Linked DNA regions of Caenorhabditis elegans. The protein of the gene in region 1 interacts with the protein of each later gene in a pairwise test. Each region holds a gene or a part of one and is shown on either strand. Other genes may lie near its edges. The genes, in order: rab-10, hum-2, eat-17 and cnt-1.

Region 1 (6,626 bases):
TGTTTGGTTTTTTAAAAGAATCTGAAATTATAAGTAAGAGTTTTCATAAATTTCAAACTAAAATGGGAAAATACCCTCAAAGTCGCCATTCCACGACGTTGATACCGATATGCAAGTATTCTCATATGATCTGATTTTGAGATTTTCTGAGAAGTAACTCTTGACGAGGGCACTGATGCGAACTTTCCTTGTGCAAGTAGGAATGGTCCTTCTGAAAAACGAGCGACTTTAAAATTCCCCATTTATGTTAGAGTGCGCAAGTTTCAAAGGACACACTTGGTGACCTTCCTAGATTTTTCAAAACTTGAAGTAAATGGTTTCAGTATACTAAATTACTTTCTCAATGTTTTCATTGTTACTACACGAAAATTACGAGTACAGAAGCGGATATTTAAGATTCCAAATTTCGGCATTTTGCCAAAAGATTGACCTAAAACATTGATGATTGTACAAAATTGTAGATTTTCAAATATATATATTTAGTACTTTTGCCCCAATTCGAGTACATGTTTAGAAAAACTATAACTAAAACTGAAAAGAAAATTGTAAAAGTACAGATAACTGTAACTGATATCTCGCCACGATTCGAATAAATCGCGATTCTACCGTAGTCTCAATGAGAAAAACGGCCGACGTGGTACATTCCGTAGAACATGATCTTTAAAAATGTCGGTAACTTTTTTAACATGTGACATCATCCGTGAGGGTCTACTAGACTGCTTGAATCTATGTGACTATAGTAAAATCGCGGCAAGAAATCGTGGTGATGAGCACATTGCGATCTACCGTATAAAACCTGTTTTGAGATAGTAGATGATTGTTGTGAATCTTTGTGCAAATAATAAATTAACCATTGAAGCTAAATTTCAGGTTCTCCGATCGGCCAATGTATTTAGTCATTTCGATTTAATAGTGAACATGCTATACACGAGATGTAGTCTAGAAGACATTAGAAAATACATTTAATTTCTCACCAGAAGTGATAACATCGGGTGTCTTTGAAATATTTAGTAGTCCAGGATGCTGATGACGTGGAAGAATTGCCAACGAGACAACATTCCACGGAGGTCTGATATCCCATTCACAGGTTCCTTCGTTGAATGTACATAACTCCGTACAGTAAGAAATAGGTAGTACTACTAGGTAGATAATTTTGAAAAGCATTGCGTTGAACGGTGTCATCTGTCATAATCCTGAAGTTGGTTAGAGTGACCTCGTTGGATATTCAACAAGTGACCGGTTTTCGGGGGGAGGGGGAGGACATGTCAATTATACAAGAGTAAGCAATGAAGGTAAAGATGGCTAGTTAGCATGTGGAAGAAGAGCAATTTATTTTATTAAGTCTCTGCGCACGAGAAGATTTGTAAGAAAAGTAAAAGGGGGAGGGAAATTGAAAGAAATGGAGAACATATTTAAACGATCATTAGTTAGAACAGGTAAGTGGAAATGGAGAAAATGTTTCCTAGAAGGGAAGAATGTGAGGCAAAAATTCGAAAAAAAATGAGGGGGAAAGAAGAAGAAGCAAAAAAGATGTATTGACATTCAAATTCATGAATACCCGGATGAAACATTTACAAAACCAAATTGGAGAATAGAGAAGTAAGAGGGAAAAACATGAATCTAGCAGCATCCTCCACTGCTACTCTGCCTCTGTGGTTGCACTGGATTCACCGTATCGCGGGATTGCTCGTCAGTGGAATCAGGCATCTGAAAATAAAAACAAATTATGAAAAAAAAACAATCGTATTAATGAAACTAATTTAGATTATTCTGGTGCAATTTTTGACGAAGCGATTAAAATTTTTTGCATGATTAAAAACGAAGAAGTTTCGCTCTTCATATTTTGTACTAGAAGAGTAATGAGGACAAAAATAAAAAGGCTCTTAGATTTTTCAACTAATTACGAACAATTTCACAAGAAAAAATCAGATTCTAATGCATTTAGCAATCTAATTATCACATTTTCGTCGATTTCAATACTATCAGAACATATATTCGCCCGTGCAAAGAATGTACTAATATATTTCGAATTTTCACATCCTTAATTTTAATTTTTAAAAACATTTTAAAACTTTACCTTAGCCAGAATTGCTTCTGCTAAATCGTAAAACGCTGTATCGACGTGAACATTCAATTTAGCTGAAGTCTCGTGGAAGCTGAAAATAAAAATTGTTTGAGATTATATATATATATTTTTTTATTTTTTAATCCTTTTTAATCTCCCAAAACGTACCTAATACCATGATCTTGTGCGATCTTCTCTCCTCGTTCTCTGCTCACAACTCGTCTATCACTCATATCACATTTATTTCCCAATATCATTTTAACAACATCTTCCGATGCATGTTCGTCAATATTGCGCAACCACTTTGCAATATTGTCAAAACTTTTCGCATTTGTGATATCGTAAACCAGCATAATTCCCATTGCTCCGCGGTAATATGATGTTGTGATTGTGTGGAATCGTTCTTGTCCAGCTGTGTCCCAGATTTGTAATTTAATCTTTTTTCCTTTTAATTCGATAGTTTTAATTTTGAAGTCGATTCCTGAATGAAAAAAGAAAATTATTTTGAAATCACTAGATTCTGAATAAAAACTAACCAATAGTTGAGATGAATGTGGTGTTAAAGGCATCATCCGAAAATCTGTACAGAATGCAAGTTTTTCCAACTCCTGAGTCGCCTATTAGCAGCAATTTGAAGAGCATGTCATACGGTCGGCGAGCCATTTTTCTTCTGAAATGAGAAAAAGTTGAGAACTAAAGTTGCACAAAAGTAAGAGAAAAGCACTTGAGTCATGGCAAATAGAACGAACACTTTGAGATTTCGAAGAAGTTATCAAGAGTTGACAATTGGAAGATATTTGGAAGAACTTTCTAATTTTTTTCTAGTTTTCCAAAATTAGGTTTTTGTCATAAAATGTTGTCAAAGAAAAAACAGGACAAAATAGTTAATTGTTGTTTCCATTATAACAAAAAAAAATTTGAACGGAGCTATTAACGCGTGCATGCGCAAATCACATCGATTAGCTGTTTCTGGGAAATTCTCGGGAAAAGGTGAACAGCAGCTGCTGGCTTCCTCTGCGGGTCACGAAAACACAAAGAGATCATTATAATTGTTATTTGGAAAGGAAGCGAATCTAAAACGGGTACAGGTGGACGTTTATTGATCGAAAGTGCTTTTTATTTGAAATTGAATGGTGAACTTTGCAATTTTGTAATGCAAAGTACGTTATCAGATGGCATGAGATGTGTGAAGTGATAAGGAATAAAATGTGAACGACATGTTCAAGAAACTGTGATTTTTCAATAATTTGTGATGAAATATTTTAGGAACAGAAATGAACATATTAATTGATATAAAAACAATAGGAACACTAACTCATAATTATGATAGGTGAATATCAAAATGTGCTAGATTTTTTGAAGTTAAAAAATACATTTCTAATATTTTTTCAAATAATAAGTTTCAGCTGAAATTTCAGGGTGATTTCAGAAAGCTATGTTTTGATAAATTGTTTTGAAAATTAAAAGAAGCTACAGCAAAAAAAAATTAAAGAGAACATCGCTCCCTCGTAGTGTATAATTTTTGATTATCGAAAAAAATGAGTCAATGATGAAAAGGAAGTCGCAATCTCAAAACTTCAAAAATCAAAAGAAGCCGTTGCCTCTGTCATCAAAAATTCAGAAGACAAGGTTGTTGACAAGGGTCAATTCTCAGTGGTGGAGGGCATTGGGCGTGGTGAAATTTTTGAAGGCTAGTGTGGTTGGACCTCTACTAGATAGACAAAACCCCCGAAATAGACGTTTAATTTGATGAGATGGTGGAGAAAGAAAAGGACTCATTCTCTAGATGATAGAGAGACCAGAGATACAGACAAGAGAGGGCGCCTCGGCCGTATGTTGAATGGGAGATCGATGGAACCGAGACAACGAGAAAAGGAATAGAGACGGAGAAAGAGAGAGAGAGCGCGCGTTGTTGGAAGGATGAAAAAGAAAAAAGACATGAGCTGCTTCACAAGAGCTTGGCGAAAGCAAAGGGCAAAGTGTTGACAGCTTAGTGGTGGTAGTTGGATCATGTGTTTTTATGTTTCCGGTGGGAGAAGGTTCAACAAAAAATGAAAAGAAAAAGTTCAAGCGGCATGAATCATTCTGAGTTTAAAACAAAATTATTGCGAAAATTAATATTAAAACCTTTTCACAAAACTTCAAGCTAATCTGTTCATGAAAATTTGAATAATAGTTTTTTCCCACCTATTTAGAATTAACTTCATATTAACGAAATTAATTAACGAATCGAAAATTATGACTTTTCAGAATCATCTGAAGTTTTTTCACATTCCATGCTGCATGGAATAATTTGATCCTGGAATCGATATGTTTTTATGGTATACTTTTTAACCTTCAATTTAGCTGGAAAAGTATGGAATAAATAATTCCCGAAGCTATGTACATATATGTAGAATTATTGAATGATTGTGAGAACAACTTGACTTTAGCTTGAGTAGGAATCGGAATGGCTATCGACCGATCAACACTTAGGATTGTAAGAATGGCAGTAAGAATATATTGAAGAAAGAATGTTTGTTCATAGGAAGAGAAAGAGTATTGCGAAATCATCATCGCCCACTTTAGAATGGACGGGCGGTGAGCGGACATAGAGAATTGTGAATGACTAATGCTTTTGCAGAATCTAGGGCAAAATCGTAGGAACAAACAATTGTAATACGGAGAAAACAATCATATCGATCGATGATCATGGAGAAAAATGTGATTTAAGTGAGTAGACTTGGAAAAATTAATAAAAGCATGAATTGTCGATATTTTTCATTTATTTTCATTATAAAGCTCTTTAAAAACAAATTAAATATTGAGAATGGCTTCGAAGAATATTGTTTCAAATATGTTCAATGGTGACACCTTGCGGATAAAATTAATGTAAAAATCATGGAACACAGATTCACTGATATCTCATTATCTCAAGCAGTGTAATTAGAGATTTTTTGGAACAATTATTTTATAAAACTATAAATAAACCGTTTATACTACTCAAAGCCAAATATTCAAGCTATTACCATTTTTTTTCTAACTAATTCTTGAGCAATTAAAGTATTCCCCAGTTTTTATTTTGCAACGACTCCAGGCAAACACGCTCCGTTGCACTTGCCGCCAAGGCGTTGCATTCAAATCAGAGAGACATCTCATTCCGATTTCTGTTTTTCTTCCAATAAACGGTATTTTATGCCTAATGGGTGATACGGAAATTGTTCCTCTTCGAGTACAAAATGTACTTGATAGCGAAATCATTCGTCTCAACTTGTGGTCCATGAAGGTAACTGTCTAGTTTTTTTAAGTTTTCATGATTTCAATATTTTTACAGTTTAACGCGACCAGTTTCAAACTCGAAGGTTTTGTGAGAAATGAAGAAGGCACTATGATGCAGAAAGTTTGTTCCGAATTTATTTGTGTAAGTCGAGAAACATATTCGTCAACAATTTTCATTAAATATTCAGAGACGCTTCACTTCTACGTTGCTTTTCGATGTTTCCGGACGTTTCTTCGACTTGGTCGGACAGATTGATCGGGAATATCAACAAAAAATGGGAATGCCTAGTAGAATTATTGATGAATTTTCAAATGGAATTCCTGAAAATTGGGCCGACCTTATCTATTCCTGCATGTCAGCCAACCAAAGAAGCGCACTTCGCCCTATCCAACAGGCTCCAAAAGAACCAATTAGAACTAGAACAGAACCAATTGTTACGTTGGCAGATGAAACCGAGCTAACTGGAGGATGCCAGAAAAATTCCGAAAACGAGAAAGAAAGGAACAGACGTGAGCGTGAAGAACAGCAAACAAAGGAACGTGAGAGAAGATTAGAAGAAGAAAAACAACGACGAGATGCTGAAGCTGAGGCTGAAAGAAGGCGAAAAGAAGAGGAAGAGCTGGAAGAAGCTAATTACACCCTTCGTGCTCCGAAATCTCAGAACGGCGAGCCAATCACTCCGATAAGATTCACACGGGGACACGACAATGGTGGCGCGAAAAAAGTATTCATCTTCGAGCAAACTCCAGTGGTAAGTAAAAATTTATGTTGGAAACAATATTTTGTCATCTTCAGAGAAAACAAGGTCCTATTGCTTCTTCAACGCCTCAACAAAAACAACGGTTGGCTGACGGGGCCAATAATCAAATTCCACCAACACAAAAATCTCAAGATAGCGTTCAAGCGGTACAACCACCACCACCGCGTCCAGCTGCACGGAATGCTCAGTTTGCATCGGATGCAGACTTGTTTGCGGTTCCAAAGGCTCCTCCATCCAAGAGTGTACGTAACTTAGCAGCTTCGAATGTCGACATATTCGCAGATGTTGACTCTGTTCTTGATACTTTTCATTTTGAAAGCACCCCAGGACGGGTACGAAAACCAGGAAGGCGGAATGTATCATCACCATCACCAGAACCACGCCATCGTTCTTCATCTAGAGACGGTTATGAACAATCTCGATACTCTCAGAGATACGAACATGATAACAGTAGATGGAGCAGACATAACGCCACATATCGCAGACACGAAGATGAATCAAGAATGAGTAGAAAAAGAGTTCGTATTAATCAGTTAATTTGT
Region 2 (7,849 bases), on another chromosome or scaffold:
AGACACTGCTTCAGTGAAAAAATAAACTGGCAGTTGCGATATTGACAAACAAAACATAAGACGGCAATCAGTGGATCACAAGAAACAACTGATGATTAACGGGATAAGCTCCCAAACTATGTGTCAAGTGGTCAAGTTGACATGGAACATTTGACATTGGAAGAGACACCATGTTGTTAGAAATATTTACATGAATTTAGGGGGTGAAGAGGGTGATGCAAGAAAAGAAAAGCGGCCCATTGGGAGTTCACACAACTAAATATTCACAAAAATACTCGAGTTACCAATTGACTTTTTTTTTCAGAAAACAACAATTTGAAAAGCTATAGATGGAGAAGATTCTAATATCTAGGTGTTAAAAAAGCTTAAAACCTATGACACCTAGGATTCAAATTCAATATTCAAAAGTTGCAGAATGTTTCCACAATCACGCAATCAGTATCATATTCTCGATAGATTAGGTCAGAGGCTGTTTTCAGAAATGTTATGTTTTAGTTGATATGCTGAAAAAATTGAAAACTTTCTGTTTTTCGGTCCAAATTGAAACAAATTTTTTATCAACAGCCCTGATCAGGTGAATATTTTAATAATAAATAAGGGATTTTTCAAGGAAGCTCATTTCTACACATACACTGCCTACAAAGTTGCCGAAACTCAATCAAATATTCCGAAGAGCAAATAAAACAGATCGTAAAAGGGGAAGGGAGCTCATGCTCATTCAATGTTGCCGTTTTAGATACAACAACTTTCTTAACAATTCTCTCATTCGTTCGAAGGCTTTTTGATTGAGATGAAAGAGCAAAAATTTCATGTTTGCACATTGTCTCCGACTACAAAAAAAAATGCGCATTTTTGCATAAGCTGATTGTGATTGCAAACAATGAATTACTAAGTGCTTTTTCTCATAATCTACTCTTAAACTTCAACTTACTGCAATATCCAATCGCATTTGCAGCTCGATGATTTTGTTCTCCAAACCAGTGTTTAACTTCTGAAGATGTCCAACTGAACGTGCTTCTATCTGAAACAGAAAAATTAATATTAGAATAAGTAAGAAGTCAAACTCACCTTAAGCTCCCGGAGACGACGTTTGGCAAGCCATTTACGGACAGCGCACTGAACCATGACCACCTTTTTCCTGTTAGCGATTTGCTCACGTCTCGCCAAATATCCACGCCAAGCTGCTTGAATTGTGATTGCAGATTTCTCATAGCGAAGCTGGAATATTAAAAACAATTAATAAAAAACTTTCAACAAATTATCATACCTTTTCCACATATCTTCTGACGCGATTCGCCTTAAACATTGCCTGGATCCCAATGATTGAATCGCGAATTTGTTCATACTTCCGTCGCTCCAAATATCCACGAACAGCAGATTGCATGACTATCACAGCACGATGCATTTGGAGATACTTGATTCTTCGGAATGCGAGGAATGCTTTCAACGATGCCTGGACGATGAGCAAAGATCTTCTCATCGTTTCGTATTTTCTCCTGGCCAAAAATCCTTTCCACATCTTCTGAATCACAGTTGCAGCAGCTGCAAGCGTATCGAGCCGAACTCTTTCCAGAACGGCAACTTGTCCAGTACGTAAGAAGATTTTCGTTTTTCCAACTGCATATTTGCCTTCTTCCAAGCATTGTTGGCATGCTAATTCCGCAAACTGTTTAGGTTTGTCTCTCCACAGGGCAGCTTCCTTCGTGTAAATTACACGGTATCGACGAGCAAACTCCTCATACGGATAACGAGATGGGAAACCAGCAGCAGAAATTCGAACAGTCTCAAGAACTCCACACGCACGAAGTTGTTGTATCGCACGTTTTGGCTCGAAATCGAAACTGATTTTGCTGTCATTTGGCTTGATGCATCGGACGTAATGTGGACGCGTCGAACAAAGTACAGACATGAGCTCTTTGAGTGAATCACGAAATTGGCTGGCCACAGTCTTCTTTATCGTACGTTTTCCGGGTGTCGATGAAGATGATGATGAAGAGACGGAGGTTGGTGCAGTTGATCCGATGACTGTGCGAATGAATGGAAATTTACTGGCAACGACAACATCAAGAAGTTGCTCTCCAATCGCATCCCTGTTCTTCTCCACAAATCCATCCGTACTGTATGTGACGTCAGCAGCGAAATGACGAACAATAAAATCGTTGCTCCGAACTTTTGGAAATGCGAGCTGTGGATTTCTCTTCAGCTCCGTGCTATTCTGCAATTGACTCAACCAGTCAGCATCAGATCCATTCAGACGTTTGCATTGCTCGTCGAGAAGATTGATCATTCCGACAGGACCTTCGATAAGATCAATAGCGGGCTGATTGTCATGGAAATCAACACGAACCCATTCAATTTCCTCACGAATATATTCTTCTTGCTCCAACTTGAAGACATGCTGATTAAATTGTTGTTGTAGTTTTTCGTTTGCATAATTGATGGAGAATTGCTCGAAGGAGTTCACATCGAATGTCTCGAATCCATAGATATCAAGGACGCCAATGAAACGATCTGGCCGCTTCTTTTGATTTGTTCCGTCCAGCTTATCCTTCTCGTTCAAAGCTTCATTGATTTTGTCGACGAGCCATCCGAATAAATGGGAATACAGCATTTTCGTGAGAGCATCTCTCGAACGAACAGCTTCATTTTTGGTCAACGGCTTCGTCACGATCTCATTCACAGCTCGAATCTCTCGCCTTGTCAGCCAAATTCTCAGATCGGATTCACTGATTTTCCAAAACTCCCGGCAAAGTCGTGAAATCTCCTGACAACTGCTAGCAGATACAGCGGACGAGCCCTCGCCGTTTTCGAAATGCACGTTTCCGAGAAGCAATAATCCAGCGAGAAGGCGGAATACATCGGACATCTGCTTTTCGTCGAATCCAAGCAACTGAAGCGCTTTCAGCAAAGCCTCGAAATCAGCTTTATCATCAACTCCGGGAATACGACTGTCTCCTCCTTGAGTGAGATACGAATACGATTCGCAAGGTCCCAAGTGAAGATCTTTGAGAACTTGATGATTCCGAGCGGCACATAACTGATAGAAGATGTGATAATTGCGCTCTCCAGGTGCTTGGAATACTAGACGACTTTTCTCGAGCAGATATGTCTTCATTTCGGCTCCGACAATCCTTCGTCCTCGTTCACAGAAGTTAATCTGTATGAACTTCCCAAATCGAGACGAATTATCGTTTCTGAAAATAAAAACAGTTGACAAATTAAGATTAATTTCAAATAAACCAACCTAATCGTTTTGGCATTTCCAATCGACTCCATAATCGGATTGCTCGCCAACACACGTGCTTCAATGCTGGTGGTCCCGCCATTTCTGGTCTTGCTGGCTGCAACAGATGCCAAATAGCGCATGACAAATTTCGCAGATACGGTTTTTCCAGCTCCAGACTCGCCACTCACAATAATAGATTGTGATTTTCCGAAAGCTCCCATGTCGAAGTGGGCCTCTTCTGCTACAGCGAAAATGTGAGGATCCATCTCACGAGCTGATTTTCCAGCTCCTCGATACACTTGGATAATTTCTTCTCCATAAATGTGCGAGCAATCGGCGTAAGGGTTGATTGCTACAAGCACAATTCCACAATATGTGTAGATCGATGATCCTTTCACAAATCGAACTTGTAGATTGTGAAGAACTGCCGGCTCGTGAAGATAGGAAAGAAGTGTGAGATCATCCTTGCCAACAAGAAATGCAGGATTCCTGAGGAATGGCAACTGGTCCAATGACTTGATGGCGTACTCGACTTCCTGAAACGAATAAGTTTTTGAAAACGATTAATGCGATAAACTCTCTCACCGTATCATCTTCGAGCCTTATCCGAACATTCCGTGTTTGGAATGTGATGTCCTCTTCCAAAGTAGCTCCAATCCATACAAGGGTTGGGTGGCGGTGCCAAATACGAACTCCCTTCTGAAAATTTCCAAAATTATTTGAATAACAAAGTTGAGCAACAAAAAACTATTAAAACTGAAATGGCATCTAATAGTAGGATTTAAATAATTCTCACCTTGAAGTTTTGCAGCGGGAACAACTGGCCCCTGCCAAGAGTGGCGCCTCCGTCCATATTGGATGCTCCCAATCTTTTTTCGATTCGGTGAACAGGCTCGGTGAATCTGAAATATTTTGGAATAATTGAACATAAGTCACGAGTTAAAGAAAGTTAAGAAGAGAACGAAGAGAAACGATAGGTTGGTGAAATGTTGAGTTGAGACAGGAAAAAACGTGAAATATTTACATGAACATATCACTGTGTATTTGCCCTTCCTTCTCCCATTCTACGATATTGTCCGGTTATCAGGTTCGGAAACGCAAAAATAAACATTTCGGCAATGAAACACTTTTTCCCGTACTGGACGTGAAGACAGCGAAGATCTACGGTTTTGCATGGTGCCTCATAAAAATTTATTATCCCCGGTGGTGCCGAAATATACATTCCTCAATATCCATCTCTCGCGCCACTCAACATTTATGAAAAACAAAGTGAGGAGGTGTAGGATTAAGTGGAAAGAAAAGATAGATTTGAATTGGCGCCTCTTGCAAGCATGTGCAACTTGCCAAGGACACTTATCGGCCGGTGTTCCTCTCCGCTAAGAGACTGAGAAGAAGCTTGTTCTATTCAATTCGTTACTATTCATCAAGGGCAGTCTCATTTGGAAACTTGTGATTTATCACATTTTGGGACTACTTTTTTGTGTCACAATGAAATAGGGAATAATACTGGTTTCGACGTTGTTTTTTTTATAGCTACTTTTTGTTTATGACAACAAAATAATAATTTACTCTCTCCTATGAACTTGCTGATAATCAAAAAATGTATAATCGTTATGGGTTGTAATGAAAAATTAATTTCGTGTTCACTATTTTTAGGAGAAAATGTATGTAAATCGGGAGTAACGAAAGAAGCGTTGCTTCGGTGACAAAAGACAGCCGGCTGCCATTTCAAATTTCAAACCAGCGCCTTGCGGCAATTTTATCGCCAGAGCAAATCTGCATACGTTGCGAAGGTGTGAAGGTGTCAACAGAGAAAAGGAAGAGCGGAGAAATAGAGAAAGTGATTAAAATACGAAGAAATTCTTATCGGCAATAAGTAGCTGCTAATAATCCTGTATTTACCACTTGTTTCGATAATAAAATAATAGAGAAAAAGGAGAAAATAAGCTAAATTCCACACTTTCTTATTCGGAAACAGGAAGACATGGATAGAAACCAAAATCGTGATGTGGGAAAAAAGAACGACAACATTAGTTTTCAATTCTGGGTACAAGCCGACAAAATCCGAAAAGTAGAAAGCGAAACGAGGAAAGAAGCGATTTCAATTCAAAAGCGAAAATTGGGACGGTCTACTACTAAAAACGCTGCTGATGGAGGTAGATTAAAACGAACATTTGCCTAATCGCTACAGAGTCTCTCCACTTTCAGTGCTTCCGACAAGTGATGACGAGCTGTTGACGGCCATCATAAAATTGCGCCGAAAATGAAAAAAATCTGCCTGAAGAAGTAAAAGAATGTGAGGAAACAGTTGTTTCCACATATAGTAAGAGCGCAAAGCAGAGGAAGTGATTAGTTTTGAAAACAGGAGATAACACGAAAAATGAAGCTACTTCGAATAATTCTCAAAAGAAAAAAACGGGTATTTTACAAAATCGAATTCCAAAAATTTGAACAAAAACTAATTCCAAATGAGTTTTTTAAAAAGTCACTTTCTAGAAGTTATTTCGAAAATTAAAGGGACATCGAGCTTTTCGCGCGCGCGGGTCTCGAAGCGATGAACAATTTACTGTAAAAAATCTATGTCGGCCTAGAATTTATCAGTGAACAATGTTTTATTTTTCTATTGTGGCTTAAAAAGTGCCAAAATGAATTAATAAAAATAACACAAATAAAAATATTTATATTTGTGATATCAATTTTCATATGGGCATTAAAAAAAGAAGATTGGCAAGCTATTAAAGACAAATCAGTTCTGGAAAAACGATCAAGTGATCAGAAACTGACCAGAAATGATGATCAATCACTTTCATCACAGTGCGGACGCACAGTCAATGGCAAAATAAACACGGATGACAAGCGCACTAGTGTTTTTATCCGAATAAGTGATGTTGGCGCATTTTCCAGAACGAACAGTTTTTGATAGAAGAAACAAAGAAAATAAGAAGCGATAAAAGTTCTAAATCGAGGTTACATGCGTTGATATATTCACTTGCGCCTATAAAAAAGAATTCGGGGCTAATTGTGATTTTATTGATGGACAAAGTTAAGCATTGGACAATATTAAAAGTTTTCGATCGCAAAAAACTATCGAAGCGAAAATAGAATTATAGGAAGAGCGCAAAACGGTTTTAAAATAGAAAAACGACGAGGTCGGCCAGAAAACTAAAACCGGAGGCGGCGGGTGGAAGATCAAAAAAGAATGCGCCTCGTGGAGTCAATTGCGAACACAAAAAATTCAGCAGAGCCTCTCTGGAAATAGTTCAAAATCTGAAGAGACTGAGATGCGTTCGGAGTGAACGGAGAGGGATGAGCTTATGTTTGTGTACCGAATAAGGAAAACGCTCAGAAAGGGTTGGAGAAGGCACCGGTGTTTGCCGCGAGCCGGTATTCTCGCTGGTTTGTATGCGCGCTCTCTGAAGAATATGAATGAATGACAATGTGTCTGCGTGTCTATGACTTTGATACTCTCTCTCTCTCCTCGTTTGCTAGGAAACTGTGCAGTTTGGGAACACAATAAAGAGCTGTAGAAGATGGTAAGAGCCGGTCTCACAGTACACATTGGTGGGAATCGAAAAGTGACCAGAAATGTGACTTGTTTTCTCGCAGTTGTTACAAAAAGTGAAAACTTTCGCACAAGTTTAACGTCCGTGACCGAATTCTTCCACGAGAGACAGACAACTAGTATTCGCTGATTGTAAGGAATATTATTTCAGAAAAATTGAAAGTGATTTTTTTCTTTCCCTTTTTTTTGGGGAAGAAATTCGTAAAAAAATCCGTAAAAAATTTGACGGTGTAGGAGAGTTGCACTCATCCCCCAAAAATACTATTCACTAACAAAAAGAACGGTTTCGAAAAGTATAGCAACAAAAAACGTAAAAACCACGTAAAGCAGTCGTATCTTCAAAAATTTTCCGTTTATTTACCTATTCGAACTGCTGTTATCAAGAATGATGAATCATCATTTTTGCGTGTGCTTCTCAGAGACTATTGACAGACCCTAAACGAACGTGACTAAGTGGATAGTAAAGGAGAAAATGTGCAGAAATTGCTTGGGTGAATGCACAAGGTCATGGAAAATTCAGAAAATGTAAAGAGCAAAACTTTAAAAGAAAATGACACTCTGGAAACTTTAAAAAATAACGGTAAAACGCCAGAAAACTACCAAAACAAGGAAAAATAAATCAATAAAACAGCCAACAAGGCCCAAAAACAAATCAATATTAGGTTTCAGTCAACGCTCACGTGCCACCTTGAAAAAAAACCGAAGAATGGCGAAATTGACCTAAAAATAGTGACAAATTTGATTTCGAAATATTTCGCGCCACGTCGCGAAATGCGCCAGCAAAAAAACGCGCCAACTTATTTCGCTTGCGCGAAACTTGTTTATTCGAAACTTGGCAGGTCTAGAAACGACAGTTCTGAACTGAACACAGAATTTGGGAAGAGAAAAACTATTTAAAAATGAGGAAGTTACCGTGAATTATTGAAAATTTAAGTTTTCCATAAAATTAAAACTCAAAAAGTGCAAAAGTCAAACATTTTACGCTACTTCTTTTTTTAGGGAAAATTTTTCGTTTTCGATTTTCAAACAAAATCCAAAAAACCGACTTCCTTGTACATCGA
Region 3 (7,963 bases), on another chromosome or scaffold:
TGGAAAGGGAAATTGGGGGGAAAACTAGTACTAGAAAACAACTGCGAATTGGGTCTCGCCACGACAATATTGTTTACATTTTTCAGGGTGCGGCACATTTTTTCCTATAGTTTCGTTTGTAGAAATTATTTTTTGAAAACATTCAAATATTTCTCGTAAATACAGAATTTTGAATTTAAAAAATAATTCTGGTAGAAAATCGTGAATTGGTAGGCCTGAGTATAAATTAGGCTTAGAAAGTCTTCAGGCTTAGACACGTAGGCTTAAACTATTAGAACTCTGTTTTTAAGTATAGTCCTTATTAGTTTTAGATAAAATTAGAGGGGCCAATTTGAACGAAAACTAAAAAGAAAGTTCAAAAAAAGTTATTTCTATTAACGTAAGTGTCTCTGTTTTTAGAACTGCATATCAAAATTCAAAAGTCTATAAAACTTTTTTGAAAAACCGTTCTTACCGTAATCCGAACTCCGACGTAGCGCTGCAGTGGCTGCCATCGGCGGTGACAATTGGGACGGCGAGTTGCGTGGCGACGACGTTGAATTCGAGTTTGAACGCGAATGCCTGAAAAAAAAACATATTTCAATGATCGAACATATAGAAATTGGAAAACGCGAATGGAAAGAGTCATCAGCGTCATGAAAATGCCATTTTTTATTGTACAAAGTAATGCTGGCCAAGGAGAGCACTGATGAGTAAAAATGTCAATAGTCAAACCGGAAGTCTATCCAATCACTTTTTGGGTAGCACAGAAGAGAGAAAAGTCTTAAACTGAAAAAAAAAAACGCAAAGAAAAAAGCTACGGGGAGAAATCAAGTAGCCGCTGACACCACGCAAGGCGTCATCTTTAATTTTAATTAACAAAACCTCCTTCCACCCCATCATTGTCAACATTGCAATGGTCGAAAAACACAATACAAAATGAAATAAAAATGCAAAGAGCTGTTCCTATAAAGTTCCACGAAGAACGGAATACTAACGGAATATTTCAAATTTCAAAAGGTGGGCGAGCCATCTCTTGTTGTGTCATTCTTCCAGCTTTGAATGCTTTCCTTATCAGTTTTAATACTAGCCACCGCCTCTGCATAGTGCGAGATAACAAAACAGTTCTCTTGTAAGGGACACGTGGATGGGGAATACTTTTAATATTAATTGAGATTTGAGAAAAAACATAAAGTTTGACTGAAAATGATGCACTGAAAATTATTCAGAATACACTCAAAACTTTCTACATTGTTTAAAACAAAAATAATCATAACTGTCGGAAAAAATGATAATTGTTATTTTTTCAGAAAAAAAACTGTTCTAGTTTATAATTTTGAATTCAACATTGTAGATCTACACAAATTTCTAAATTTCATATTCAGTTCAATTTTAAATCAACCAAAATTGAAAAATACAAAAAAAAACATTTATGTGAATTTTTTGGAGACTACACCTACTGTGCTAAAATGGCCAAATATCACAGTAAAACTTTTTTAATGTTTTTTTTTTCAAATTTTTAGTCAAAAAGTTACGATTACTCAGTCACTCATAATTTAAGCCGTCAAAAAAAACAAATGTTTTTTTTCTACAAATTGTATGTATAAAATTTCGTTAATTTGATGTTGCCAAAACTTCAAGTGAAAAAATTTTTTTTTTTTTAAATTTTGTAACTAAACTTAAAAACTTTCAGCTAAACTTCCTATTTAAAATCATTTCTCAATTACCTAAAAACTCCAAACTAAAGAAAGGCTTTCGTAACCAAATCCAATTGTAATATTAAAAAAGTCGTCAGTAGTCATCGAGACGTGTAATTGACAGGAACGGATGGCGGCGGTCAGTTTTGAGGTGAGATCAAGCGATCTGAGGACAAAAAGGGCGAAGAAAAAAGGTCGGGGTCAGATATTGCCAAACACGCACGCAATCAATAAAAAGGATATAAATAAGGAAGAAGAGGATAGGTGTGGTGTGTGTGGACCTTCCTGTGCACTGTTGCGTAGTGGTGGCGGTGTTCCCTCCTCTATCTCTCTCTCTCCCTGTGTTCTTCTGTAGTATATCCCACACGTAGAAGACGTCGCGTGGAAATGGTGAGAGAGTGGAGGGTGGCAGAGAAAACGAGATGTATACAGGTTACCCGACCGCTTTAATACAAAACATGTTTTCCTGTGTGTTGCATGCCAATGCTGATACAATTGATGATGCGAGTTAGCAGTCGCAATTGTGATGAATACCGTCCTATTGATGGTAAAATTTAAGCTATCATAGTTTGGAACGATGATGTTTTTGGAGTGGGTCTTGCCGCGATTTCTACATCTATCTGAGTACAAAATGAAAATTTATGAAGTTTTACCTTCTGAAGCGCACAGAGAAAAGGGTTTGTACAAAGTTTCACGAGTTCCTGAGGACACGATAGTATATGGTAGCTCAAAGAAAACAGGATAAAATCTAAACCTAGAGGAATTTCTTTTGAAAATGTGGCAAATTTTACAACTTGTTAACACTATTCCGATTTCCAAAAAATCAAAACTCCGGAAAATGAAAAGTTCAGGTCTCAGTGAAACTTGTCTTATTATTCTACAAAGCCAATGTGCAAAAACTATTACTTTGCCAGTTTGTACCTTATTTCCAGTATAGAAAAACGAAATAGTAAAAGCAGCCGACATTGATCAAAGTTTGCGATGTCTTATGCTGTTAGCGTTTTTCAAATTAGCCAGAGGGGCAGGATAGTTCCTTCGGTACGCAAGCAATCTGGAGGCCACGAGTTCAAGTCCGGCCTCACCCCTAGGTACATCCAGCCACTATTGGAGTAATCCACAACTGGATTATCGGCCACAGTCCCCGGCTAGGACGTGGCTTAAATTATAGCCCAGCGGGAGCACCACCGGGCAGTCCCAGATCCGCAGTGCATAGCGCATGAAGAACGGATCGACCTTTTCTTTCAATTTATAATACATAGCAATATTGCTTACACCTTCCCCTGCATCTCAACTCGAACCAACTGTACACGACTCATCAAACTGTTATCAAACCCCACCACCACGTTTCGAGGATTTACACAAAGCCTTGACCTATTTATCGCTGACTGACCCCTCGGTCCCGTATATTTGCTCGTGTTGTCACGTTCGGAGCAGCTAGCCCCTGCAGTAAACTGCAAGGGAAAAAAACCAACCACGGTGAGTTCAACACGAGCAAACAGAACGTTGTCGTCCCTAACTTTGTGCGCGCGCTCGAAGATCAGTTCCTTGTTCCATTCTCAATCTCGGGAAAACTCGTTGCCAACATGCCAATCACACAATTTCCTGGTTTGGTCAAGGTTTCGGACACACGGCCAACGGAATGCCATCATGCTTGTGTACCTAGTGTTCCAAAATTAGATTCGTCCCCCCCCCCACTCCTCCTGTATGCATACAGGAAAACGCCGGTTTTCCGTGGCGCCGCGCCAGGATATTTTTGGAAACTGTCGATGACCAATCGGAGGAGAAGAACAAAAATGGCGCCGCGCACGGACCGAAACGGGTGAAGAGCTTTGTCTAGAGGAAAAAAAGAATGAAGAGAAGAGTTGGAACAATGATTTTTGATTAAAAGCCAGTCAAAAATTAATTGGCAAGAGAAAAGGCTAATCTATTGATGGATAGTAGGCCAAGTTCAGTTGATCAAATTAAAACTGGTAAATAAACATCAAACTCAAATCAAACATTGATGGAAAGCACCCTATAGATTACTTGAATCAAAGTCTTTGCACAGAAATAGGAAAAATGTATTAAATTTGACGTAGAGGATTAAAACGACCAATAATACAAAGTTTCTAAAGCACAAGAGGAGGTACAGTTCGATCAGTTAAAGTTGGAAGGCTATTAGAAAGATAGTTGAGTACTAGTAGATTAAGCACAATTGGGAACTTGAAAAAAATGAGTCTCAAATTTTGAATTGAGAAATGTTCTGACCATTTCAAAAATATAATTTCTAAAACCTCCAATTTTAAAAATGATCCCAAAATTCTTACCATAATCGCTCCCAGTCTAGATTGAAGAAGCTAGCAGTTTCTTGAAAAAACGACGTAGACTGATGATGTGGAAACACTGATGGCGTTCCGACAAGAGCCGGCGAGGGCACCATCGTGAATATGTAGAGTTACGGAATAAAGTGAAATATTTTGATGTTGGTAGCTGTTTTTTTTCTATTGTTGTTGTTGTTGGTCGTATGGGTGTTGATCGAGAGATAATCAGTCGAAAAGTGGCGAACAATCCCGAGTTGAGCTCAGCGGGGGAGGGGGAAAAATTTTGAGCCGAGAGCCGTGTTTTGCGCGTCCGTCGCCACTATTGAGTCTATATGGTCGTAGCGAGGAGGACGCGAAACAGCATACAGTCGAAAAGAGAACGATAGGCGAAGGGAGCGACGCGAGGCAAGAGACCGGGCGGCGATCGGGCCGTGCGCACAGTCCGAAGTAGGCGTGACACAACCAAACCGCGAGTCTCTGAATCCATCGCTTCTTCTTCCCACAGAAATGGAGCAAATATGGTCATGTGCTTTAGCTTCTTCAAGACATACTATTAGTTTTTCAACACGTCTTGGTTTCCGCGCTGGGTTTTGCTCTCCGGAGGGAAACACAAGGCGCGCGGGAGTGAGGGGAGGGACGAGATTTACGGATTGGAGCAGCGTCCACACTGATGTCATTATTTATTTATACGGTTATATAATACTATTTGTGAAAGCCAAAACAGAGGTGCAACGTGTGGCTAGTGGACTTTAATTCTATCTACTTTCAGAACGAGATTACATCAAATATCAAAACTTTGCTGGACTTCTTACTGTATAAGCTGGAAAAAAGTTATCCAATAGCTCGGTCCTATACGGTCCTAATTTTGTTGAAAATCATTTTCACAGACCTTCATCAGAAAACGTAGTTTTTCTACCGTACTATACCGTAATCCATTTTATTTATAGAAAAATTCCAATTTTTTCATATCTCGAGATCTTTTACTACGATTTTACCCATGACGAATCAATTTTCCACAACCCGACAAAAAAAATTATCGAAACCCAATCTTCTCTAATTTTAGAAAATTTCACATTTCCGCCGACGGACACTAACTGACTGAGAACCCGAGTAATTCGAGGCCCTGCATCTTATCGGTTTTGTTTTTATTTGTATACCAAATGACTAACTGAAAAGTGGCACAACGAGCTGGCCTGTTTGATGAGGAGATTTTGATATTAGTAGGTCGCAGAGGCGAACAAAAAAAAAGCAAAAACTTTCGCCTGCAAATATTTGTGGTGGTGGTGTTGATACCCTGACACCGAAATATGAATCAGAATCGAATGGGACGGAAGAATAGAGAAGAGTGGAATGGCGAACAAAATAGCAGAATGAATAGTTACTGGAGGTATGATATTACTGTACGTTCAACTAGATAAATCATATATATATATATAATGATAAAATTTCAGAATGTTTCAGAGTAAAATGTGCGACTTAAATGTAAAAATTTTCAGTAGTTTTTAAATTTTCCGGAAGAATCAAAAGTATCGGAGTAAGCTCGAAAATTTAAGGGGTTTCAAGGATAAAATATGAAAATATGGTTTTCTCCAAATTTTGTATCCACTACTGATAAAACACTACCGTACCAACTACCGTAACCTAAAAAAGAACCGCACAGTCAATTCATAAATAATATGTCAAAAGTTTGTCGGAAAACAGAAAACAGAAAATAAAAACAAAACCTTTAAAAAGTAAAAATTGAAATGAAAACAAACAGAGAGAGTGACTAATGAGGGAAACGGAATCAAAAAATGGTGGTCCGTTGCGACGAGAGAGTGAGAGACGGAAAAGAAGAGAGGGGAGAGAACGCGCGGGGGGCGCCTCCAACACAAGATCAAAAGAGGGGGGAGGTGTGCAATCGAACAGTATGCAAGTCTAGAATTGGTAAATGTGAGAGTAAAAAAGAGACTTTGAAATATAAGTAAGTGTATCAAGTATTTATTTTTGTAGAATAATATGAAAATTGAAATTTAACAATTGAAATTGAAATGAAGTCCGCGGAGATTTTCGTTATGATTTATTAGCCATCAAAACATGAAAAGAGGAATAACATGGAAAGTTCACATTTCAAAAAGGATCTATATTTTTTGCGGGTTTTGGGGGAAAAATTCCAGAATTTCTAAACATATTAAATCTCAAAAAAATAATTTTTTAAAAAATGTTAAAAGAAACTTAATTTATATGTGGGTCTTTTTGAGGTGTTTATCATTTTTCTTAGTACTAATATAATATAAAAATGAAACAGCAAGGAAATATCCATGAAAATGTTACATCTAGCGTTTAAAAACTTTTTAAAAAAGAAAATTTTGTGGTCTTCTTCAAGCCTAAAACTGGCCTATTTCTGTTTTGAAGCATAAAACAAACTATTGATAAAAAAAAAACAACAAATCAAGTGTGTTGTCAAAAATATCTTGATTAGTTGTTTTTTTTTGAAATCAAAAGATCAACGAAATTGTTTTGAAATTTAAGAAACAAAAATTTTTTATACAAATTTTATTACGGTTAATGGAAATTTAAGATTTAATATTTTTTTAAATAAAGTTAAAAACCTCAAAGTCTGTTCTTCAAAAGTTCCTGAACGACGAAAAAATTATTTTTCTTGATGTATAGCGAATCTCCGATAGCGTGGAATTGTTAATTACGAATTTTCTTTGCGCTTGTGATTTTTGATTTCAGATTTTAGAATTCAATGATATATAAAAATTCTGCCCAACTTTAATAATATTATTTAAAAAAAAGCAAAACATTATGAAGGTTTTGTCAAATGCGGACATTTTCAATTCAACAACTTCTACTTCTACATACTTTCCAATATAATACACTATTGAAAAAAAGAGCTTTCCAATAAAAAGCTACAGACACTGATCAAAATTCGGTCTCATGCTGAAGAGTGTTATAAAATTCTGTGTCTGTGAGGAGCATCTGCTCAGACTTTTGTTGAACGTTCGCTGGATGTTCGAATTGGGAAAAGGTCAACTAGAATAATGGTCAGAGCAGCTGTGATAGAGAAAATATTTTTAAACTTTTTTACAAAAATGGTACGATGTAATAAATGTTTTGAAATTAATCAAAACACATTTTTATCCAAAGTGCACAAAAGTCAAACGAAATTGTGCATAAAGGAATAATGAACCAATAACTAATTTTCACAAGCTACAATTAAAATTAAGAGTTATAAGAAATTTTCAGCTGTACTTTTATTCTTTAGCCTAACTTTCATTAAATGTTTTAAATTGACCAACAGTTTTCAATTTCTCCAACTTCTATCGAACTTCAAACAAAAAGAATTAAGAAATTAAGCAATCAAGAATCAATTAAGAGAAGTTTGCAAAAAGTGTGGAATAATAGACGTTTTGTTTGCATTTTGCTAGCAGCCGGCCTGTTTGGCGACAGCGATGCCACCAGGCAGCCACGAGCTTATTTATACAAAAAAGATCCTTCATTGCTCCTCCAAATACATTTTATGATAGTTATAATATACAAATCCGCTGACCACCCATACACACATTGACTGCCGGATGCATATCTATCTATCCATATATTTCTACTTCGCCATGTTATTATGTTCAGCCCCCTCTCTTTCTTGGCGATCTTCTTCCATAGCAACCAAGCTGCTCGGGAGCATTTTGATAACAAGTTTTAGATTTCATAAGTAGGTAGAGTTAGGCAAAAATGCTTTAAATATGTCAAGTTTGATATATTTTTTTTGCCATTGAGCGAGTTCCAATAATAGTTTTTAAAAAAAGTTATACAACATTTTAATAATTTTCGTATTAAAAATCAACTGAGCGAAAAAATATGTATTGGCCCAACTTTTTAAAAATTTGAAAAATTAATTTATTTATGTCCATTTTTAATTAAATCAAAATAATAACGTTTTATATTGAAAATACTTGAAAATATTGAAAATACTGAAAGAAAAAATGTAAGTTTTAGTACTTACTA
Region 4 (7,682 bases), on another chromosome or scaffold:
TCGAGTTCCTGTTTGTTTCATTGTTTCTTGTATACGTATGAATGTAGAATATAACGTTTTAAGTGAACAAGTAACGGATGCTACACAATAAAGAGCTTGTTTCAAGCATAACAATTCACCAAATAAGTAAGGCTTATAATCAACACCTAATCTCTATTCAATGCAGTTTGTTGTGTTTTTGATTATAAACTTTTCTCATAACAAAATTATAAAATAGTATTGAAATAAATAAATGAATAAACGTTTTGCATTAGATTATACTGATTTATGTTCTTAAATTTAGAACATTATAAATTTTTTCTATTGTATTATCATTTCATCAGTATTATATCACATGTACCATTTTTCAATATATGTTTTATTGTGTTTCAATATTTTACGAACTTGAAGCTATTTTAATATAGAAGACAGATATTTTACACTTTTTGCGTAATCCTCTAGATATCCCACTTTTAACTTCAAAAAACAACTAACCTTTGGAACAAGCGAATGTACATCCTGCATCTTACGTTCGATGAGCTTCGATTTAGCAGCAAATGTCTGAATTGTGTCGGCGATTGCTCCGTTGTCGGCAGCTGTCCACTCGTCGAACGTGGCGTGCCCTTTTGAGAAGAACGCCGACGATTCGCGAACCAGTGTCCACAACTGCAAATTTTAGAAAATAATATGAAAATAAAAAAAACGTGGTTTTGGTGGTTTTTTAGTAATTTAATTGGGTTTTTTTTCGTTTAAAAAATATTTGTGAGACAGGAATATGCATAGGTATTTAGATTTTTCATTTTAAGTTAAAAATTTGAAAACGTTTTTCAGGAAAATTTTTAAAGACATATTTTCTTTTTTTCGAGAAGACTGATTTTTTTAAAATAAAATAAATATAACATTGGTGGCCTAGGAAATATATTGATGGCCTAGAACATATTGGTGACCTTGAAAAAACATTAATGGCCTAGAAAAAACATTAATGGCCTAGAAAAACATTGATGGTCTATAAAAACAAAAGCGGCTTAGAAAAGTTACTGATGGCCTAGAAAAATATATATGTGGCCTAGAAAAATATATAGATGGCCTAGAAAAATTACAAAGATGGCCTAGAAAAATATATATGTGACCTAGAAAAAAACAAAGATTCTAGAATTTAAATTTATGTCCTAGGAGAATTATTGATGGCCTAGAAAAATTATTTCTGTTCTAGATAACTACAAAGATGGCCTAGAAAAATATATAGATGGCCTAGAAAAATATATAGATGGCCTAGAAAAATTACAAAGATGGCCTAGAAAAATATATATGTGGCCTAGAAAAAAACAAAGATTCTAGAATTTAAATTTATGTCCTAGGAGAATTATTGATGGCCTAGAAAAATTATTTCTGTTCTAGATAACTACAAAGACGGCCTAGAAAAATATATAGATGGCTTAGAAAAATTATAACTGGCCTAGAAAATCACTGGTCTAGAAAAAAAAATTGATGGCTTAGAAAAATAAATTAATGGCCTAGAAAAATTATTTATGCTCTAGATAATTACAAAGATGGCCTAGAAAATATTCAAAGATGGCCTAGAAAATAATATTGATGGCCTAGAAAAATATATAGATGGCCTAGAAAAATTACAGCTGGCCTAGAAAAATCGCTGGTCCAGAAAAAATATTGATGGCCTAGAAAAATGAATTAATGGCCTAGAAAAATTAATTATGCTCTAGATAATAACAAAGATGGCCTAGAAAAATAAGTTAATGGCCTAGAAAAAATTTTTAAAAAAATTTTTAAAACCGAAAATAGTAACCTATAAATATTCAGACTTTCAGTAAAATTTTCCAGAATTTTTTTTTGGTGGAAATTTGATATTTTGTGTTCCCAAAAAAAGGTGCTGCACAAGAAGATGGAAAGAGCATTTCGAGGAGAAAAAGACGGGACGCGCGTCATCAAAAATGGCTAGGTAAATAAAGAAAAATGCAGTCGAGTGGAGGGGTAGTTTCGAAATATTTATTCATTTTTTCTCTATTCTTTGTCACTTTTTTTTTGGAAACTTCGAAGAAAGTGAAATTTTGGTTTTTTCCGGAATTTTTAATTTTTTTTTCAACAAAAAAAGTTATTTTTTACGACCAGGACTGGCATCAAAAATTCGACCGAAAAACAAAAAAAAATTTTTTTTTAATGTTTTTTACCAAATTTAGAATGCTAAACGGCTAAAAGTTGGAAGTTTTTGAATATTTTAATAAGAAAAATTCAAAGGAAAATGGCTAATATTGAGATGTTTTTTTTTAATTTTTGAGTAAAAAACGGGAAAAAAATTATTTTTGATTTTTTTTTACCAAAACTATAACTACAGTGGAAAAAAGTTTTTTTGAAATTTTTAGTGAAAAATTATAATGCGAAACTGCTAAAAATTGAGAAATTTTGTAATTTTTGAGTCAAAAAACTTTTAAAAAAATTTATTTCGGGCTTTTTCGCAAAATTTAAAATTTCAAAACTCTCAAGTTTTTGAGTTTAAAAATTCAAAAACAAATTTTTTAACAAAGTTCTAATGCATTACAGTTTAAAATAAAATATTTTGAATTTTTAGTTAAAATTTTTTTAAAAATTTTATTTTAATGTTTTTTTTTGGCAAAAGTAAAATGTTAAACGGCTACAAAAAAATTTATAAATTCTTAAATTTTTGAGCAAAAAATCAAGAAATTGATCTTTCTAAAACTCTTACAGCTAAAAATAAAATATTTTGAATTTTTTTCAAATTTTTGGAAAAAAAAAGTTTCCGTTATTTTATGTGATAACTCTCACATTAGCCGAGGGAATTTCTAATTTTTTTAACCAACAATTTTCAAAATTCAAAACGAACCGCATCGAGAATCATATGGTCCTTGTGTGCATGTGCAATATTAATATTTGCCACGTAGTCGAGTGTGGTGTGTGCGAAGCAAGTGCCGACCTGGAAAAGAGCGGGTTTCTTGGTTTGAAAAAAAAAATGTTTTTATTTGTTTAAGGGTTTTTGAGTGGTTTTTCTTGCAATTGAGACGCTTTGTGAGAAACTATTTAAGGTGAAGCAAAAAAAAAAACGACAAAATTGAATGTTTTATATAACCAGAAATTTTGATTTTGTTAAGAACATTTTTAAATTTTTCGATTTATTGTTTAAAAAATAGACTTTTTTTTTCAGAAAATTCTTTTTTTTTCAGTAACATTATTAAATTTTTATCCAAAAATTAATCAATTATTTATTTTAACAATTTCTCGAAAAATAAAATAATCTTGAAAAAAATAAAAAAGAAGATAATATATTTGGAATTTTTTTTACTGTAAAATCGGCTTTTTTTGATAAATCAATATTTCTTTTTTCAAAAAATTGATTGTTCGCTTTAACGATTTTTATATTTCTCGAAAAATATAAATCTTTAAAAAATTACAAAAGAAATGTTTTTAAATTTCTTTTCAGTAAAAATGGGCATTTTTCAAGAAAGTCGATTTTGAATTAGGTTTTTTTCTCTGTTTTTTTTAGTTTTTCGAAAAATTAAATTTAAAAAAAAAATTTCAGTAAAGTTAACATTTTTTTGATGAATCAATAATTTTTGTTGCAAAAATTAATTTACGATTTTTATATTTCTCGAAGAAAAAATTTTAAAAATTTACAAAAAAAAATCACTAAGTAATTTTTTTGGCGAAAAAAAGATATCTGTTTTTTAATTTGTAAAAAAAAATTTCAGTACAATACCTATTTTTAGAAAGAAATTTTTTTCAAAAATTTGGATGAATTTTTTTTTGGTTTTTTATCGAGAATTTCGAATATTTTTCGTTGAAAATTCAAAAAACTCACCGCAGTAAGTGCATTTCGCCCTTCTGTCGCATCTGCAGGCTTTTGCCTTGAAATACTCGCATTTTTGACTAATGCATCATCCATTGATTGGGACATATTCTCAAAATGTGCACGGGATTCTGCCACTTTTGTGAGCTCACTTAAATTAGATTTTAGAGGAAACATTTTTGAATTTTTTTTATTTCGAAAAATCTAATTTTTAATTGAATTTTCAATTTTCTGTTGTGAATTATGCGATTTTTGGTTAAAAACACTTGAATTTTGGCTGGAAATTTATTATTTTTCGAAAAAAATTGCCTTATATTGTTTTATACGTAAAATTGATTTTTTTTTTAATTTGGCGGGAAATTCAACTTTTCAAAAAAGATTTTTTTTTTGAAAAATTACCAAAAAACCCGAGAAAAAATCGAGTTTTGCCTATTTTTTTGCAAATTTTTTTACAGGAATTTTAATTTATTTAATTAATTAATTAATTAATTTTTTCCAATATAGAAATTTTTTTGAAGTTTTCTGGCTCAAAAATTTTTTTAAAATTTTTAGCTCAATCCAAATACCTTTAGTTCAAAAAAAATTAAAATTTTCGATTGTTCAAATTTGTCAATTTTCTGTACCTCTAGAATGAATAATCTAGTAAATCAGCGGGAAATTTGAATTTTTCACCTCTAAATTTAAAGTAAAACGAAATTTTGATTTAAATTCGCTTAAACTCGTTATTTTGTAATTTTCGGCCTTTTTAACTCAGAATTTATCGATTTTTATGATTTTTCGCCAAAAAAAACTCCGGAAATCTCACATTTTAATGAAATTCGACAGTTTCGTGAAAGTGACCACATTTGAATGGTCGAAATACGTGCGAAATAGGTTAACAGTGTGTGCATAGGCTTCTGATAATCCTTGGAATGTTGTAGACGCCAATGGATTGCCGGAGAAGCTTTCATCGCATAATTGATTCACCGAAACCGTTAATTTGCTGGAAAAAACGGGGATTTTTTGAGAAAATTTGAATTTTTGGTTTTGAAACGATTATTTTTCGCTATGTGCCTTTAAAATACAGTAATCTGAAAGCTTAATCGTTTCGAGACCCCAAAAATGAATTTTTTTCACGTACTAAAACGTGTTCGTATAATTTTTGCTGAAATCAATCATTGCAGTGATGTGTCGGAGCATTTCGTTGAGCCGATTCTCTAATCGATTAAAATACATTGCATGTTGAGCGACTGTTGCGCGGAATTTTGGAGAATCCTGCAAAAATTTTAGGTTTTTGGTGTATTTTGAGGGAATTTCTACCTGAATTGCCTCGGAGCAGTCGATTTTTGGCGGAACAGACGGCATCGCCATTCCATTGTTTGATACTGTCATAAAATCTGGAAATTTATCGATTTTATACGAAGAAATTGAGTTTTTTCGGCTGAAAATTGAGAAAAAATAATCAAAAATAATTAATTGATAATATTGCGTCGTCAATTTCAATGCCAAGTATGCAAACACCACAGGTGCACAGAACAAGATCTACCGTACTCTTCAATTAATTAATTGAAGAGTACGGTAGATCTGGTACTGTGCAGCTGTGGTGTTTGCGTACTTGGCATTGAAATTGACAGCACATGTTTATCAATTAATTAATTTGGTTTTTAAAAACGCAATTTTAATAGAAAAAATGTCGAAAAAATGGTAAAAAAACATTTTTCTCTTGAAAATTTTCATTTTTAATAGCTAAAAATAGAAAAATAAACTGAAAACAGTCTTGATTTTAAAAAAATTGCTTAAATTTTTCACTTGAAAAAAATTCAAAAAAGTCTGAAAAGTCCGATTTTTAGAAGAAAAACTAATTTTATCACCATTTTTCTGTACAAAAATTATCGAAACTTATGGAAAATAACAAAATTTTCCCAATGTTAAAATAAAAGTTTTAAGTTTAAATTTTAAAATTAATTTTATTTCCAAAATTTCGCAAAAAAAATCCTATAAAAACGACCAACAATTTTTGGGTAAAAAAACTTTTTTTTTGATAAGTGGCTGTAAATATGCCACGTGGCTTTTGAAATTAAAAAAAAAAACATTTTCAAATGTTTTTTTCAACAACTTAAACTTCCGTATGCGCCTTTAAAGAAAACCAAAAGTCCATATCACTCGCACAATAAAGGAAAAAGAGAAAAATTCCAAGACACGTAACAAAAGCCTCAGAACAGAAAAAAAAAACAGAAAAACAGCCGGTTCTTCTTCTCTCTTGCCGCTACGGCTGCCGCTGATGATGATGGTGATGAACAGGAAAACGAGGGAGAGAAATAGAGAAGAGACGCAGGCAGTTAGACGGCGGGAGAAGAACATCGCGACAACTTTTCGGACGGAGGTCATTGTGTTTGTGGGGGGAAGAAGAAAAGGACGAAATTTTTGGAGAAAAAGGACAGTCGTATATAAACATTCACTGCTTGTTTCTCTAGGAACTCTCTTGATTTTCAATACTCTTTTTTTGTGGAGAGAGCTTGAGAATGAAATTGGGTGAGAGGAGGAGAAGGGGAGGCACCGAGAGCGCAACTAATTTAATATTCTCTTACTTTGCTTTTCTAGGCAGACGAGAAAGAGTTACGGGGAAATTGGAATTTTGCAATGCAACAACATTACACATATGTACACGTGGTACCAGAGTCTTATTTCGGTTTGATCTACGCAGATCTACAAAAAATGCGGGAGTTGAAACGCAGACTTCTCAACTGACTTCGCAAGGTTAAGAGCGTGCTGACGTCACATTTTTTGCGGGAAAAGTTCCCGCAATTTTGTAGATCAAACCGTGTTGGGACAGCCTGGCACCACGTGATTATCCAACAAAAAATACTTTTTTCATCAAAATTTAGTGATAAAATAAAAAAATTTTTTTATCTGAAAATATGTTTTATTTGACTTGGAAACATTGCAAAAAAGCTCAAAAATTAATCGGCAAATCAGCAAACCGGCACATTACCGGAATTGAATTTTCCGGCGAATCGGCAAATCGGCAAATTGCCGGAATTGAAATTTCTGGATAATCGACAAATTTCCGGAATTGAAATTTCTGGATAATCGACAAGCTTGTCGGAATTGAAAGTTTTCGACAAATTGGCAAATTGCCAGAATTGAAACTTCCTGCAAATCGGCAAAATGACAAACAGCCGGAATTGAAATTTCCGGCAAATCGGCAAACCAGGCAACTTGCCGGAATTGCAGTTTTCGGCAAATGGGCAAAATGACAAACAGCCGGAATTGAGATTTTAGGCAATTCAGCAAACCAGCAAATTGCCAGAATTGAAATTTCCGGCAAATCGGCAAACTGGTAAATTGCCGGAATTGCAGTTTTCTGCAAATCGACAAGCTACCGGAATTGAAAGTTTCCAACAAATTGGCAAATTGCTAGAATTGAAATTTCCGGCAAATGGGCAAATCGACAAATTGCCGGCCCATGTTCCCAGGGGGCATCGTGAGAGGGGGCATCGCGTTCTAAGGGGGCATTAGGTCAAAGGTGGCAATTGTTCGTAGGGGGCATCCGTTCAGAGGGGGGCAAACACTCATTGACTACCTTTCGGATCATTGACTACCTTCAGTTGCTCATTGACTACCTTTATCTAATTTTTCAAAATTTATAGTTTTTTTCGCTGAAAAATCAGAATTTTCAATAACATGTTACTTTTTGATGTCTAAGAAGGTCGTGCACTTTCTCATTTCTTAAAATTCCGGAAAAAATGGAGATGAAATCTGATGTATAAATGCTCATTGACTACCTTCAAATGCTCTTTGACTACCTCTATCTAATAAAATTTTCCAAAATTTATTTTTTTGAAAACTTTTCAAAATTTGATCAGATTTTATAGAAAAGTGCAATTTTTGTCGTTTTTCTAGTTTG

The links.
Region 2: the proteins of rab-10 (region 1) and hum-2 interact in a two-hybrid assay, tested with the Caenorhabditis elegans proteins (one study listed by BioGRID).
Region 3: the proteins of rab-10 (region 1) and eat-17 interact in a two-hybrid assay, tested with the Caenorhabditis elegans proteins (one study listed by BioGRID).
Region 4: the proteins of rab-10 (region 1) and cnt-1 interact in a two-hybrid assay, tested with the Caenorhabditis elegans proteins (one study listed by BioGRID).

The regions. Positions count from the first base shown.
Region 1 is NC_003279.8:6,455,745-6,462,370, forward strand, and holds rab-10 (Ras-related protein Rab-10), read right to left. Parts: upstream 2,736-6,626; 5' UTR 2,729-2,735; coding exon 2,602-2,728; intron 2,547-2,601; coding exon 2,234-2,546; intron 2,157-2,233; coding exon 2,078-2,156; intron 1,708-2,077; coding exon 1,621-1,707; 3' UTR 1,538-1,620; downstream 1-1,537. Other genes in the region: mam-8 (MAM domain-containing protein), read right to left, coding at 1-21, 75-211, 975-1,182; knl-2 (Kinetochore null protein 2), read left to right, coding at 5,247-5,330, 5,379-5,465, 5,512-6,075, 6,120-6,602. UniProt on the Caenorhabditis elegans protein: The small GTPases Rab are key regulators of intracellular membrane trafficking, from the formation of transport vesicles to their fusion with membranes.
Region 2 is NC_003283.11:9,382,460-9,390,308, reverse strand, and holds the start of hum-2 (Myosin motor domain-containing protein), read right to left. Parts: upstream 4,135-7,849; 5' UTR 4,080-4,134; coding exon 4,023-4,079; intron 3,926-4,022; coding exon 3,812-3,925; intron 3,763-3,811; coding exon 3,245-3,762; intron 3,197-3,244; exon of another isoform or gene 3,195-3,196; coding exon 1,268-3,194; intron 1,219-1,267; coding exon 1,069-1,218; intron 1,022-1,068; coding exon 932-1,021; intron 1-931.
Region 3 is NC_003284.9:16,412,746-16,420,708, forward strand, and holds the start of eat-17 (Rab GTPase-activating protein eat-17), read right to left. Parts: upstream 4,096-7,963; coding exon 3,983-4,095; intron 562-3,982; coding exon 455-561; intron 1-454. UniProt on the Caenorhabditis elegans protein: Rab GTPase activating protein for the small GTPase rab-6.2. Required for grinder formation, which is the feeding organ that breaks down food.
Region 4 is NC_003280.10:12,083,695-12,091,376, forward strand, and holds the start of cnt-1 (Truncated cnt-1), read right to left. Parts: upstream 5,175-7,682; 5' UTR 5,168-5,174; coding exon 5,096-5,167; intron 5,051-5,095; coding exon 4,917-5,050; intron 4,779-4,916; coding exon 4,602-4,778; intron 3,948-4,601; coding exon 3,809-3,947; intron 2,927-3,808; coding exon 2,837-2,926; intron 646-2,836; coding exon 475-645; intron 1-474. UniProt on the Caenorhabditis elegans protein: GTPase-activating protein for the ADP ribosylation factor family. Regulates endosome recycling downstream of rab-10 and upstream of arf-6.